3 linked regions of the Ovis aries genome follow. The protein of the gene in region 2 interacts with the protein of the main gene of each other region in a pairwise test. Links are inferred from orthologs where the notes say so. Each region holds a gene or a part of one and is shown on either strand. Other genes may lie near its edges.

The links.
Region 1: the proteins of TK1 (region 2) and CRMP1 interact in a two-hybrid assay, tested with the Homo sapiens proteins (2 studies listed by BioGRID and IntAct). The link is inferred for Ovis aries from reciprocal best matches to the Homo sapiens genes TK1 and CRMP1.
Region 3: the proteins of TK1 (region 2) and UNC119 interact in a two-hybrid assay, tested with the Homo sapiens proteins (2 studies listed by BioGRID and IntAct). The link is inferred for Ovis aries from reciprocal best matches to the Homo sapiens genes TK1 and UNC119.

The regions. Positions count from the first base shown.
Region 1 is NC_056059.1:104,103,762-104,108,707, reverse strand, and holds the end of CRMP1 (dihydropyrimidinase-related protein 1), read right to left. Parts: coding exon 4,941-4,946; intron 3,888-4,940; coding exon 3,722-3,887; intron 1,607-3,721; coding exon 1,515-1,606; 3' UTR 558-1,514; downstream 1-557.
Region 2 is NC_056064.1:53,318,851-53,323,879, forward strand, and holds the end of TK1 (thymidine kinase, cytosolic), read left to right. Parts: intron 1-2,412; coding exon 2,413-2,502; intron 2,503-2,796; coding exon 2,797-2,916; intron 2,917-3,097; coding exon 3,098-3,301; 3' UTR 3,302-4,037; downstream 4,038-5,029. UniProt on the Homo sapiens protein: Cell-cycle-regulated enzyme of importance in nucleotide metabolism. Catalyzes the first enzymatic step in the salvage pathway converting thymidine into thymidine monophosphate.
Region 3 is NC_056064.1:19,953,583-19,958,151, reverse strand, and holds the end of UNC119 (protein unc-119 homolog A), read left to right. Parts: intron 1-1,212; coding exon 1,213-1,326; intron 1,327-1,828; coding exon 1,829-1,931; intron 1,932-2,045; coding exon 2,046-2,218; intron 2,219-2,464; coding exon 2,465-2,577; 3' UTR 2,578-3,138; downstream 3,139-4,569. UniProt on the Homo sapiens protein: Involved in synaptic functions in photoreceptor cells, the signal transduction in immune cells as a Src family kinase activator, endosome recycling, the uptake of bacteria and endocytosis, protein trafficking in sensory neurons and as lipid-binding chaperone with specificity for a diverse subset of myristoylated proteins.

The sequences.
Region 1 (4,946 bases), on a different chromosome or scaffold from region 2:
CTCTTCTTGCTCTCTTGCTTCATGAGTTGAAGTCCCTGGAGGAGAACTTGAAGCCAACGATTCTGAATGCACTGGCCCTCACTGTACACACCACAATCCATACACTGCAGGGCGGCTCTGGTGTCCTGGGGCCAGGTGCTATGGAACACGTTTGTGTTGGGTCCCCTGGCCTGAGCTCCATGTCCCAGAGCAGGGGAGTCGGCACAGGAGCGACCATCTCTGCTGGAAGAGTACCATAGCACTGTGCACTGGAGCCAACCTACAGTGTGCGGCCTGCAGACTCACAGGCTTCATGTTGGTTTAGCTTGAAACTGGCTACAGTGGGAGTGTCTGCACCAGAGAAGTCGGCCCTTTACCAGCCATCCTCCTCCTCTTCCCGTCCTTGGTCTCAGGATCTAACACTCCCCAAATCACCACCGGCTCCCTCTGCTCCCTCCTCTGTGTCCCCCACCACCTAACGAGTCCTTGTTAAAGTGAGCACCGCTGTCTGGTTACCATGAAGGGAAGGTCCAAGCATGTGCGCCCAACCAGCCGCCACTTAAATGCCAACACCCCAGTCCGGGAATGGGCCATTGATTTTATTTTTTCACAAGCTTTGAATTCAGAAATAAGAGTCACAATAAGTCAGTCGTTAAGTAAAAATGGGAGTGATTACAAAGGAAAACTATGTACAAAACTTTAAAAATCTGACTGCTCCATCATCCGCCTTGGAGGGACCAGGACATGGGCACCGGGAGCAGCCGTGGCCCCACCGTCCTCAGCCCTGAATGCGGGCGGGAGACCCCTTTCTGAGGGTGAACCTGGCTCGGCCTGCAGTCCGGAGCTGGCTGGAAGGACACACACGGACCGGAAAGACATGGCGAGCTACCGGCGCCACGGAGACCAGGGTTCCTGACACAGGACGCGGATGATGCTTCTCGGTAAGCAGGTGGGCGTGGGGGGCTCTCTTGGCTGGGAGAACCCACCCAGGATCTCACCGGGGGTGTGGGGGGTGGGCCGATGAGGACATACTTTCCTCGTGAGAGATCTGGAGTTGCCCCCCGCGGGGGCTTGAGGTCTGGGTTCGTGTCTGTCTACCTGGGTCTTCGGGCCGTCTTCCATCAGACGCACGCACGGACTCGCATACATAACTTAGTAACATGCATCAACTATCCTAGAACAGCTAGAGGGGTGCAAGGGAACCACTCGGAGAACCATGGAGCCCGTGGCGTCAGGAGTGGGAGGGAACAGTACAAGACAAGGTCAGAACCTGTGTTCACTAAGGAGGGGCCTGTGGAGACGCCATGCTCTGAGGTGGACTCAGATGAACACACGACTGTGGGCAGGGGATTTCCAAGCAAACACACCACACTAGTACCACTTCTTCCTAAACCAAAAAAAGGGAAAGAACATCATTCCATCTCCCTCCCCCCTCCATCAGTACCAAACACAACTGCGGGCTTCCAAACACTGACAGGGTAAGGGATGGACGTCCTTCCCAGAATCCTTCACTCTGGCTCATCCGTGCAGCGCCTTCACCCAAGGCTGGTGATGTTGGAGCGGCCGCCAGGGGGCGCCACGATGCGGTGGCCGGTGCGCCGCGGGTTGTTGTCATCTATCTGGGCGCCTGGGGGGAGACACGGCCAGTCACTCGGAGATCTGTGGACACCAGCTCCGCCGGCTGTTCATGCCTCTCGTGTCATGTCCCCATGTCAGGCCCTTGGGACATGCAGCCCTTGTCTTGACCAGCCCTCCATCCTCCCGACCCTGCAGTCCAGGGTGACCGCTGGGAAGGCTCCCTGACCTCCACGGGGTCCAGTGCTCTCTCTTCTATGCCCCACGAGGTCCCGGGGCCACCCTCCTGCAGCACGGACCACTCTGTTCTCTTTTCTTGTCTGGCCTCATGTTCTTGCAACAGGGGAAAGGGATAGTTGCTCAATCGTGTCTGACTTTGCGACCCCACGGACTATACAGTACATGGAATTCTCCAGGCCAGAATATTGGAGTGGGTAGCCTATCCCTTCTCCAGCGGATCTTCCCAACCCAGGAATCGAACCAGGCATCTCCTGCCTTGCAGGTGGATTCTTTAGCAACTGAGCTATCAGGGAAGCCTAAAATAGGGGGACAAATAATTATTGATTGCCTACTATGTGCAGGCACAGACTTGGTGCTAAAGCATATGTTGTTGAGTTCAGGGCACAGAGCAGTCCTGTGAAAGGGGTGTTGTTTTACCCCCAATTTACAGATGACGAATTTGAGGCTCAGGTCACCCATTGTAGGGGCACCACTGGAGGGCAGAAAAGCCCGAATTCTAGCCCCAAGTGGTCCGTCCCCAAAGTCCAACGTTCCCAAGGTGTTTTATGTGTTACGTGTGGGGGCACATGTGTGGGCATGCATGTGTGCCTGTGTGTGAACACTGAGAGCTGGATCTACCCACCCCATTTGCCACAGGCAGATCTGCATGGAGGTAGGGACAGCCTTTTTTGTTTTAAATCTGCAAAGCTAACCGTCCGTTCCAATCTCATGCATTCTCTTGCAGTTAAAGATTTAAAATTCCAGCACTAAGCTGTGCCGGCACTCAACGAATATGTATTAAGTAAATATTGAAAGCTGGATAATGCTGGGGAGAAGTATTGTGGGGAGGGTCCGGTCAGAAGATTTTCCTTCCAGAACAAATGGGCTCAGGGAAGGCAAGAAGGTCTGGATTGAGGGACCCCTTAATTCATGTCCCCCATTGCATGATCCCTGAATTATTGTGGTAGGTGGTCACCCCCACAATTTAAACTGGTATTTAAACTGGTATCTTCTCTCTGTCCTTCCATTCTCCCTTTTGTCAACCATACTGCCTTTCTATTTAACTGCCCTTCACTCCTGCTGGACCACAAATCAGCCCACTGACAAAACTCAGCTCTGTTTTTGTACAGCCCATGAACTAAGAATAGTTTTTGCATTTTTTGATGGTCTTAGATTTTGCCTCTTCGCTCACAAAACTTAAAATATTTACTATCTGGCCTTTTAAGAAAAAGTCTGCCAACCTCTGGACTGGACTGAGGCTGCCCAGCCATGTCTTATTCATCATCATCTTCCTAGTACCTGGCACAGCAAGTAACCCATGCTAACGCCTCAATCGAAATTCCAAGGTCCCAACACATGCACGCCTGCCCTCGTGTGGTGAGCTGATGAAACTGCAGACACGCATCCCAAGAGCCTTCGGAAAGGCTGAGGGACCACAGGAACTTCTGATTTTTGTCCACACACATTCGCTGAGCATCAAGCCCTGGCATTTTGACACTGAATGTTTTGGGGCCTTCATTTCCTCCTTAAATAAGTGTGAATAATATGACTCTACACACAGGGCTGCTGTGAGGCTGAAACAGTCATGAGCGTGTGATAAACCACCATGGATGGGACTAGCCAAAGATCCGACCCAGAAGATACACCCAGCAAAGGCAGCTACTGTGACTTCCCCTCCATGCTCAGCTTCATGGTGGACCCAAGTGCGTTAAGGATGAACACATGGACAATTTACGCAGATTCTTCATAAACCAGGGTCATGTACCTCTATGCTGCCCCCATGGACCCCCTCTGCTTTCTGCACAACCCCGGGAGGAAGGGAGGAAGGGATTCCCCCACTCCCATCTTTGGTTCCTTGGGTGTCTGAGGCTGTGGGTCCGTTTCTCAGGAGTTCCGGGCGCTGGGAGCCACTGCAGGATGGGGACCCTTGGCTGCTGTAGCTTCTCACCTGATAAGCTGAAGTTGGACTGGTGGAGGTTTCTGATGGGTGGAGGCTGGTGTTTGGAAGGCGAGGATTTGACAGAAGGAGCGGGAGTTGCATATTTGGGTGTGGCTGGCACCTCGTACACAGGCCCATCATACATGCCCCTGGGAACCCCTTGCAACCCAGAAACCTGAGAGAAGGGTGAGAAGAGCAACTGATTGACAAGATGCACATATGCATTCCCACGTGCAGGAGAGTGACCTGTGGTCTCCCTGGGAATATGCACAAGTGTGCACACACATGCTTGCACACGCGCCACACACAGGCACACATTCACATCCACCGGCATACCTAAATACACGCGCACACGCGTGTGCACGCATGCATATGCACGCACACGCCATACACCCCCACTCCACATACACGTAATTCACACATATGTGTATACACACACACACACCAGCCTGGACACCCAACTAACATGCATAATACACACGCCACATGCATACACACAATTTTACACATGTACGTGCATGCCTACATACATACACTAACACGCACATATAATGCACACATCACACATGCGTACGTACAACCTAACACACATTCATGTAAAGACAGGCATGCATGCACTCACACGCATACACACACACACAGCTTCCTGCAGAACTGCAAAGCCATTTCCAAGAGGAAAACACTTTCCCTGACATCCCCACGAGGACCCCTGAACCGAGGACTCGGGGCATCCGAGGGCCTGTCTTCACTGTGGATTAGGGGATGTTGGGTAGTTTGTTTGGAAGGTGATCCCAGACAGATGGAGAAAGGATGAGAGGGTCACCTCTAACGGCAGCTGGCTCAGAGCAACTGCAGACACAAACCTCTGCTGGGACCCAGAAGTGAATGGGCCAAGGACCCCAGCTCTCTGCATGGGTTGAGGGCTGCCCCAGGGGACAGAGCCCTGAGCAGAGAAGCTAAAACCTGCAGGGGCTCAGGTGGGAGGCTGGGAGCCCACCAGTGGGCTCAGAGCCACCCAGGGGTCTGTGGGCGTCTGCCTTAGGTACTGGGAGACAGCGTGTGGCCAGGGACACAAGCAGGTCCCCAGTGTGAGTCAGTGACAGCGCCCCAGCCTCACACCGGCTTCCCTCCTCCATTGCACAGGGGATGGTACCGCGACTCCAGTCCTTGGCTCCCTCCTCCTACACAGGAGGAAGGGGAGGCTCAGGCAGAGGCCCTGGACCATCACCTTGTT
Region 2 (5,029 bases):
CCTGGTTTATTTGCCTCTGGATTTGTCTGGGCGTCTCATTTAGTCTTTACCATTCGTGGTGGAGCGGCTGGATCCTTCACTGTCACATCCTTTGCCCTGTCCCCTCTTGTGGCCTCTGCAATCTTCAACGCCAGCCAGGCTGCTAGGAAGCGAGGTCTCCGCCTGGGCAGGGCTGGGGTGCTTCCTTCGAGCGTCACGAGGCTGCCACCTCTGGGCAACATGACGACAAGGGCGAATCTCCTTCCTGGCTGCCTGACCTCCGCTTCCGCCGCTTTCGGTCCTACCCGCCCCCATCATACCTCGTTCAGGAAGCGGCTCTCGGCAGGTCAGCCCTGGTGCTGGGCCGGCAGATGAACCACATGGGCAGGCTTGTCAGTGTCAAGAAACCCCACCTGTTGCTTCTTTTCTCGCTGGATCCCCTGTGGTGATCATTTTTGTCTCCCAAGAAAACTCTGCATTTGCTAGGTCCTCTGAAGTCCTGCTTTAAATGTAGCCTGTATTGGGGTCTCTGGCTGCTCTAATGTGCACTGCAGACCAGGCAGTTTAAACCACAGACATTCATTTCCTACAGCTCTGGAGGCTGGGAGCCCAAGATCAAGGTGTGGGCAGGGCAAGTTCCCCTGAGGCCGCGAGGGAGAGTCTGTCCCAGCCGGTCCCCTCGGCGTGCAGGTGGCCATCTGCTCCCTGCCTCTTCACATTCGTCTTCTCTGTCTGTCCCTGGGTCCAAGTTTCCCCTTTTCGCGAGGACACTATTCCTACTGGAGTGAGGCCCACCCTACACGCCTACTTTAACTGGATGACCTCTGCAAAAAGGTCACATTCTGAGGTATTGGGGGTCAGGGTTTCAGCATAACAATTAGGGGTGGGTGGGAGGGTTCACAAGTCAACCCATAATATAACCTAAAAAAATGAGTGGCGATAGAAACAAATGTCAGTAAGGTGGTTGGTTACCAGTGGGCCTTCTGCGATGTTGCAGACAACGTGGGCAGCTCTGACTGTACCTTGGATCATTCAGGAACCCCTGCTGGGCAGCTCTGACTGTACCTCGATCATTCAGGAACCCCTGCTGCAGGCCCTGGGTTCAGTGTTTGGGCAGAGAGTGGGGTGGCATGTGAACAGGGCGCAAAGTTCAGGTGGAAGAACTGAGCTCTCTGACCGCGGGCATCACTGTAGCAGGCAGGGTGGAGGACCCCTCGCGGTCCCCAAACCCTGGTGTGGAGGGACCATGTCTGGACAGGGAAGGTAAGATGAAGAAGGTGCTCCTCCCAGGGTGGTTCTGCTCTCAACCTTCCCCGTGGATTTCTGGCAGTGTCTAGAAACAGTTTTGTTTGTGACAATGGGGGTCGGGTCGGGGCACTGGCCGACAGGTCCTTACAGGCTAGCGGCTGCATTTCTGTGACCTGTGACAAGTCCTTTAGAGAAAAGGAGGGGCCTCACCTAGAGCCAGGCTGGAGCCTAGGGGTGGGAGGTGCCATTTCCATAGTGCAGGCTCGGCAGACCCTGCAAACCCTGCAAACCCTGCAGAGGCCAGTCAGATCTGGCTTTGGTGAATCCTGCTGGAACTGGTTTGGGTTCTCTAAGCCCTGTCCTGGTCCTTGTCTGGGTGAGCCCTCGGGTTTTGTAACTACGCATCTCCACGAGTAGCTTGGAGAGAGACCCTTTGCCCAAACACTGGAACTCCCCACTTCATCCAACCCACAGACCAGATAGATGATTGACCAGTGAAAGGTCACCAAAGGATTTGTTTAAGTAGTGGCCCCTTGGGCCACTTGAAATGAAATTTGATTTACCAAGTAAGGACTTCCCACGGGTGGTGTGTTGAGCCATCCTGCTCTGTAAGTGGCCAGTGGAACTCCTGCCCCTTCTCCAGGCATCACACGGCACATTATGTTTAAAAGAAGAAAAAAATAAAAGCAAACACACAGAGCCTGCCTCTCAGCCAGATAGCATATGTAATAAATTATTTGCGTGTCCTTAATCCTTAAACATCGCCAGGGGCCTTCCTTGCCTTTTCCTGGGCTCAGGAACATGAAGTCATTGCCAGGGTCACAGCTAATGGGTCCAACGGAGAACCTGGTTCAAGCCTGAGGCAGCGGATCCAAGCTTTGGTCCACTGCAGTGGCAGACGGCCTCTCCACCTGGGTTGCATCACCCTGGTGGCAGTTCCAGGCGCCTAGCCTGGAGCGCAGCCTGGCTCTGCTGTGGAAAGTTGGTGCGATGGGGGAGTGAGTCGGGAAGCTGTGGATGTGCAGGCCGTGTACCAGATGGGAGGGCTGGCGCGGCCTTGTTCTCAGCTCCACGTGGATGCAGGTAGCTGTAGCTCCTGGGCCTGGCAGCGTGTCTGCAGCTCCTGGAAGGGGCTGCCCAGGGCGGAAGCTCACTCCCTCCTCCGCCTCTCACCCTTTCCTCTAGTTCCCTGACATTGTGGAGTTCTGCGAGAACATGGCCAACTCAGGGAAGACCGTCATCGTGGCTGCACTGGATGGGACCTTTCAGAGGAAGGTGAAGTGTCTGGTCCAGGTCTTGGGGTGGGACCGGGGACAGAGGCCCAGGCAGCGCACAGAAATGGACAGCCCAGGGCGCCCTTGATGCCCACACCATGCCTAAGCCCAGGCACTCAGGCCAGCCAGTCCCAGCTCCCTGGGGTGCCCCTGACTCCACCTGCCTAGGGCAGGTGCTCTGGGGAAAGGCAAGGTCCAGGCTTAGTTTCCTGGCTTCAGGGGTGTGAGTCAGGGTCTCCAGGAAAAGCCCACCCGGCGAAATGAGTGTGCACTCCTCTTTCTGTGGATTGTACAGGCTTTTGGGACCATCCTGAACCTGGTGCCCCTGGCAGAGAGCGTGGTCAAGCTGACGGCGGTGTGCATGGAGTGCTTCCGAGAGGCCGCCTACACCAAGAGGCTGGGCGTGGAAAAGGAGGTAGCTGCCCCCTGCCTTCTCCAAGGGATGGGCGGGTGGGGGGCAGGGAGGGGCGCCTACACCTAGAGGCTGGGTATGGAGAAGGAAGTAGCCGCCCCCTGCCTTCTCCCAGAGGCGAGGGGTGGGGCGCTGCGCCCCAGCCCCGCTCAGTCCAGGCGCTTCCTGTCGCACCGCACGTCAGGTCGAGGTCATTGGAGGAGCAGACAAGTACCACTCTGTGTGCCGCCTGTGCTACTTCAAGAAGCCCTCGGGTCAGCCCGCCGTGCTGGACAGCGAAGAAAATAAGGAGAACTGCCCGATGACACTGGGAAAGCCCGCGGAGGCCGCGGGAGTCCGGAAGCTGTTTGCCACTCATCAGATCCGGCAGTGCAGCCAGGCCAACTGAGGCACTGGCCCCTCGCTGGGGCGGGCGCTCACCCGCCACCTGCTCCCCCCACTCGCCCGCTGTCGCCCCCTGGCGGATGCCGGGCCTTCTTGGAGGAGGAAGTGGCGGGGGGCGGGGTTGGGGCGGGTAGAGGTTTCACCACCAGCAGTTGGCCTGCTGCTGCGCCCTTTCCCAGGCCAAGGAGGCGGCTGGTGGTCTGCACTGCACACTTCCCTCCTTGCCTGCCCACCAGCTTTTCTCAGTTCCCATCCCGGCTGCGGGGCGGCTGCGGGGCGATCGCAGTCTCCCCAAGCCGGAGCTGGCCGCCCTATGGGGCGGGGTCTGGCCGCTGCAGCCATCCCTCTTGGGGTGAGGCCAAGCCGCAAGCTGCTGTGACATCGGCGTCGCCGGCTTCTTCCCCGTTTGTGGCGTTTGCTGTTGAGTTTCTGTTCTCACTGGGAAGTCCATATCCCAGCACCTCTGGCTCAGCGTGGGCCTCTTCCCACGCAAAGACTTGGTCCCTCTGCCTGGGATGGGCTCCTGGCTGCCCCTGGGGATGGCTGGACTTCTTATTTCCTTTGGGGCTGAAAGCCCTTCCTGATCTGGCGATCATTTTCTCCGGAATTACAGCTTCTCCCATGTGGGTGACACTCACCCTGCTCTGGGGCTCAGCTCCCAGGGGCTTGTTTTCTAAGGAGGTGGGGGCTGTGTGTATGTGGAACTGATAACTAATATTAAAATCTATTGGTTGGTAAAAGCCTATTTCTCTTTTAACTGTCTGGGATTCCCCGGGTCTCACTATAGACACCTCTGACATGATTCAGGTATGGGGATTTCCTTTCAAATCTTTTTCTAGTACTCCTGACCCCTTAACCACAAATCTTTTTAACTGAGATATGAGCATCAAGTGTTCTAACAGGCATGTTTGCCTGCTCTTCTGCCTGGGAGGGTTTCAGGTCAAGATGAGTGGATGCAGGAGCCTGGGGCTTGGTTGGAAAGATGAAGCCTTGGTCTGTGCTGCCAGCTGGGGCTGTGAGGTCAGGTTTTATTTTGTGAAACAGACACTTGACAGTTCAGGAGCCAGGAAGACCAGCTCTGCCGTGCCTTGGGAAACGGGCTGTGGACAGCTTATGGGAAGGTGAGGGTGCTCCAGGGTGGGGTGGGCCTGGGCTGTGTGTTCCAGATGGGGCCCCAGTTCCCCACCCTTACCCCAGCTTCTCCCTCTCACTGGCTTGTGGCAGGTTACAGAGGTGCAGTACCACGGTCAGACCATAATCCCCAAACCCTATTAATTTTTACTTGGGGTCTTGAAACTATTGGGGTCCACTTTTGACAGCTCCCTCTCACTGCTCGAAAGGGGAAGCCCAGAGTTGCCTCGTGGGCCCTGGCCTCCTGCCTGAGGGGAGCTCGTTCCCTGGCGTGGGCTGGGCAGTTAGGTCGGCTCCCCAAGGGTCTGAGATGGGCTGCAGGGGTTCTGAGTCCTGTCTACAGGAAGCAGAGGACCCTTGCCCCTCCAGGGGCATGCCAGGACCCTGGCAAGGCGGCCCAGGAAAGCTGTGTTGTTTACAAGCTGAGCACAGTTGCTATTTTAAGATGCTGATGGAGGGCAGCGTGAGGCATGAGACCCCAGGCGGGGTGGGGGTGGGGGGAGTTGCTGGGCTGTGGAGGGGCAGGTTGCCACAACTTAGGTTCCAGAAGGCCTCAGTTGCAGCTTGCACCTTGCACCTCGGTGGAACTGGGAGAGGCCCC
Region 3 (4,569 bases), about 33 Mb from region 2:
AAGTCCTGTGTAGTCCCTGCTGGACCCCAAGTGCCAGGTGGCCACCAGGAGGGCTTCCTGGAGGGGGCTGCCCCATGCTTGGGAAGAGAGAATGACTTTACATTCACTTCCTCTTCCTGCCCCAGAGAAATCAGTGGTGGCCTAGGGGCCTAGCGGGTGATTTCCGGGCCTCTGCAGGGAGGATGTGATGCTGTGCTGGCACCAGAGCCCCCACTGCACCTCTCTGTTTCTTCCTATTTGCTGTTGGGGCCTCCTCCCTGAGTGCTTGCAGTTGCCGCTGCAAGAGTGGTGAGGGTTGGATCAGGCCCTGCTATTTCTGAGCTTCCTCAAGCCGAGCCCACCACTGTTCGTGGTTCCTCTTCTGGGCTCAAGGATTCCCCTTACCCCAGTCACAGCCCTGCTATACCTGCCACACCCTCTTACTGGCCTTGCCTCTTCTCTCTGGGGGTAGCTCAGAGTCAAGGGTGGATGGATTACCTTTAAGGGGGGGTTCCCTCCATAGACCTCCTCTGCTAAGACCTCCTCTTGTTTGAAGATCAGTGGGGGATGAGAGCAAAGGTAGCTCCCTTTCCCTCTCCACACCCCGCTCCCCCCCAATATTCCAGGCTCTGGGCTTGAGTCAGCAGAGCTTTGACTAAGCTGCTTAAGGGAGCTGGGTTTGTATAAGCCTCTTATGGGGAGAGGAGGGGCCTGGGGGGTGAGGAAGAACAGGGAAGGGGTTGTTTGTTTGCCCCAGCACTACCTAGGTCAGATAAAGTCCTTGCTTGACACACTTAGATGTGGCACCGGCGTATCCTCTCTGCAAATAGAGCTGTCACCCCCATTAGAGTGAGGTCCCTCTCAGGGTGGTGGGGGGCGGGGCTTCCCACCCGATTCTAGACTCATCTGGTTAAAAGTCACTGAGCCACTCCTGACATAGCAGAGGCTGGAATGAAGGGCCCTCCACCCCCAGGTGGGAGCGAAAGTGTGGGGGAGGTGGTCTTGTCCTCCCTCCTGCCCCTCCCTGACCCAGAAGCTACCAGGAGAGAACCATTTGTCCACCATTAGATCACAAGAGCAGAGCTATGTCTCCCCCGCACTCTGTGGGGGCTCCCTCAGGTTAGAGGCTCAGTTCTCTCTGTCTGCAAAGCAGTCACCCTAGGGATCAGAGAAAGTGGTAGCTAGTCTGGGGTAGCTAGGTCCCTGCCTTGCTCAGCCGCCTATCTCCCCTAGACTACCTGTGCTCCCCCGAGGAGAATATCTACAAGATTGACTTCGTCAGGTTCAAGATTCGGGACATGGACTCAGGCACTGTCCTCTTTGAAATCAAGAAGCCCCCAGCTTCAGGTGAGTGCATTGGGTACGCCAGCATCCACAGAGGAAGTTGGCCGCCCAGGGACTCCGGAGGCCACTGAGGAGTCAGAACAGAGCTGAGATCGGCACTCAAGTCTCCCCAGCAGTCACCAAGCAGCAGGGCCCTCTGCCTGGGGCTGGGCTGCTGTTTTACCTTCCCCTGGGTCCCTGGGGTTGGACGTCTTGAGAGGGCAGTCCTGCCTCTTCAGTCCCTGCCAGCCTGCCCCCTGTAGGCCCCCTTGGGAACTGCAGTCCCAGAGGCCCCAGGTCTTTTTATCTCTTGGGGCTCTGGGACTCTCAGTTGAAACTGGTGACCTGCTGACCAATTTAGAAGCAATTGGAAGCATTTGGCCAATGGTCTGAACCCTCAATATGCATCAGGATCTCCTGAGGAGTTTTGAAAGAAATTCAGACAGATGAGGTCCCTGGGGTGAAACTCCGGGTGGGCATGGGCCCCACCTGAAGCCCACTGAGCCCCAGCTGGGGTGCATTACAGAGCGGCTGCCCATCAACCCGCGGGACCTGGACCCCAATGCTGGGCGCTTTGTCCGCTACCAGTTCACGCCTGCCTTCCTCCGCCTGAGGCAGGTGGGAGCCACGTGAGTCACTGGGCTGGGGAGAGGGGTAGGGGTAGGGGTGGGAAGGAGCCCTTCCTGAGTTCTTGCTGAGCCCCTCCTGGGGCCCAGCTTAGCCCCGCCCCCTTGTCTGCTCAGGGTGGAGTTCACAGTGGGAGACAAGCCTGTCAACAACTTCCGCATGATTGAGAGGCACTACTTCCGCAACCAGCTGCTCAAAAGCTTCGACTTCCACTTTGGCTTCTGCATCCCCAGCAGCAAGAACACCTGCGAGCACATCTACGACTTCCCTGCCCTCTCCGAGGAGCTGAGTGCGTTGGGGGCGGGGGACTCAGAGGGACCAGGTTGGAGGGAATGTGGGTCTGAGCCCCTCTCTTCCCTTTCCAGCTCTCTTGTGTCTAGCCACCATTCCTAAGCCACCTATAGGGAAACTGAGACCCATAGAGGCTGGGGGAACTCTTTGTTCAGCTTATCCCTGTCCCCGAGTCCTGAAGCCCCTGCTGTGACCTGGCTCAGGCTCCTGACCTTTGCCCCAACTGGCTGGGCCTCTCTTGCAGTCAACGAGATGATCCGTCACCCGTATGAGACACAGTCCGACAGCTTCTACTTCGTGGATGACCGGCTGGTGATGCACAACAAAGCTGACTATTCCTACAGCGGGACGCCCTGACTCCCCAAGCCACCCCCTACCTCAGGAGGCTCCTGGGCCCACCCCACAGCCGTGACCACCCCAACACTCACCTCTCAACCCCGGGTCTTCTGTCCGAGGAGTATTGCTGAAGCCCTGAGTCAGTGTTGGGAGGGAGGGTGCCTGAGGTCCCCCAGTCCAAGCCTGTGCAGCCCATGGGGCCTGGCATGTGGGGTGGGGTGGTAGTGGGGCTGTTCACCTGCACATTCCAGGAAGACCCTCTGTTGGAGGAGTAGCCAGGACCTGCAGACAACCTAGTTGGCCCTAGCCTCTTGGGCCCAAGTTGCAGAATAGAGATCCCCTATCCAGGCTTTTCCCCTGCCCACTACCGACAGGCCATTTAGTAAATTCACAGATGAAGTTCCATGCGGGGTCTGGTAGTCAAGCTTCCCAAGGGAGTCTGGGTCCTGACCCCAGCCCTGGTCTCTACCATCAGGGACTGAGATCCTGCCTGAGGTGTGGGAAGGACCTGCCCAGATTACAGCCTGTGGTAGGGGCTGGACCAACTGTATATAGTTTTCAATAAACTCTCCATTTCTGTTCTCTGGTTGTGGGCCGGCATGTGTGTGTGTGGTGGGGACTGGCGGGGGACAGTAATGTGGTCCCAGGGTAGTCCTGTCTCCTGGTCCTCTGCACCTGGATACCACTCCTGGCATCTAGAGTTGGTATTTAGTATGTATTGCAGCTGGAAAGGGTTTTTCCTTTGATAAAGATGGTGACCTGAGCGCTCAGAGGGGAAACTTTGGCCCAAAGTCATAGCTAACCTTGCAGAACAGAGGCTGGGACAAGGGCGTGCGACTCCAGTGGGAGGGAAGGTGTTGGGAAGGTGGCCTTGCCCTCTACGCCACCTTCTCTGAACACAGAGGCTACTTAGGACCGTTAGGTTGTCCTTTTAGCCTTCATCAGAGAGAAGGCTAAGGCCTGGCCCCCTCTTGCCTTCAGCTGCCTTGAGGAGGACCCCAGGCTTGGCTGCCCTGCATATAACACTGCCCCCAGCCCGACCCCAGTCACAGAGGATGTCTTCATTTTCTTAATGGAAGAAGTTCAGAAACAGGTAGATGGAGACTCTATGTCAGGGTTTACAGCCTACTGGTCCAGGCACTAATTTGGATACACTTGGCGCTATTTCTCTCTGTCGCCTGAATAGTTAATCTCTAGTTAATCTAAGCCTGCAAGGCCTGGAAGTGCTGAAATTCACCTGGGTTCTGTGGAGCCCTTGCGGGAGGGCCAAGATCTGGGCTGAACTCTGGGGTTCTAAAATGAGTGAGACATTGGGATTTCCCTGGTGGTCCAGTGCTAAAATTCTGCTCCCAATTCAGGGGCCGCAGTTTTGATCCCTGGTCAGGGAAATAGATCCCACATGCCTTAACTAAGACCTGGTACAGCCAAATAAATGAGTGAGACACAGGGAACAAATACGCGTTTTAGAATAAGATGAACTGGGCACACGGGAGCAAGAGTCATCCTGCTTGGAGGGTTCTAGCGAGGATTCGTGGATGAATCCTATCCACCCCAACATTCAGGCCACACACCAGGGACTCAGTCTCAACTCCCATCTCTAGCTCCATCCAATCACTGGAGATTTTGCCTCTTAAAAGTCTCAACTTCATCTGCTTCTCTGCAGTTCTTTACCTCTCTCTCGAATGCCTACAATATCCTCCTCGGCACCCCCTCTGCCTCTAGTATGGAAGAACTGGGGAGCATCCTGACATGACCGCTTAATAGCTGTGCAATGTTGGCAGGGCAAGTTAACCTCTGTGCTCCAGCATTTTCTGAAAAATGGGCGTTAATCCTCAGAATTGATTGCGGACAGTCTAACGCATGTAAGGCATTCAGGCTTGGGCCTAGCATTCAATATATATTGGCTATTAGCTTCACTCCAATCCACCCTTCGCTCAGCTGCCAGAAATAGTCTGACCAGGTCATTCCTGCCTAAACTCCTCAGTGGCCCACCATCATCTTCAGGAAGAATTG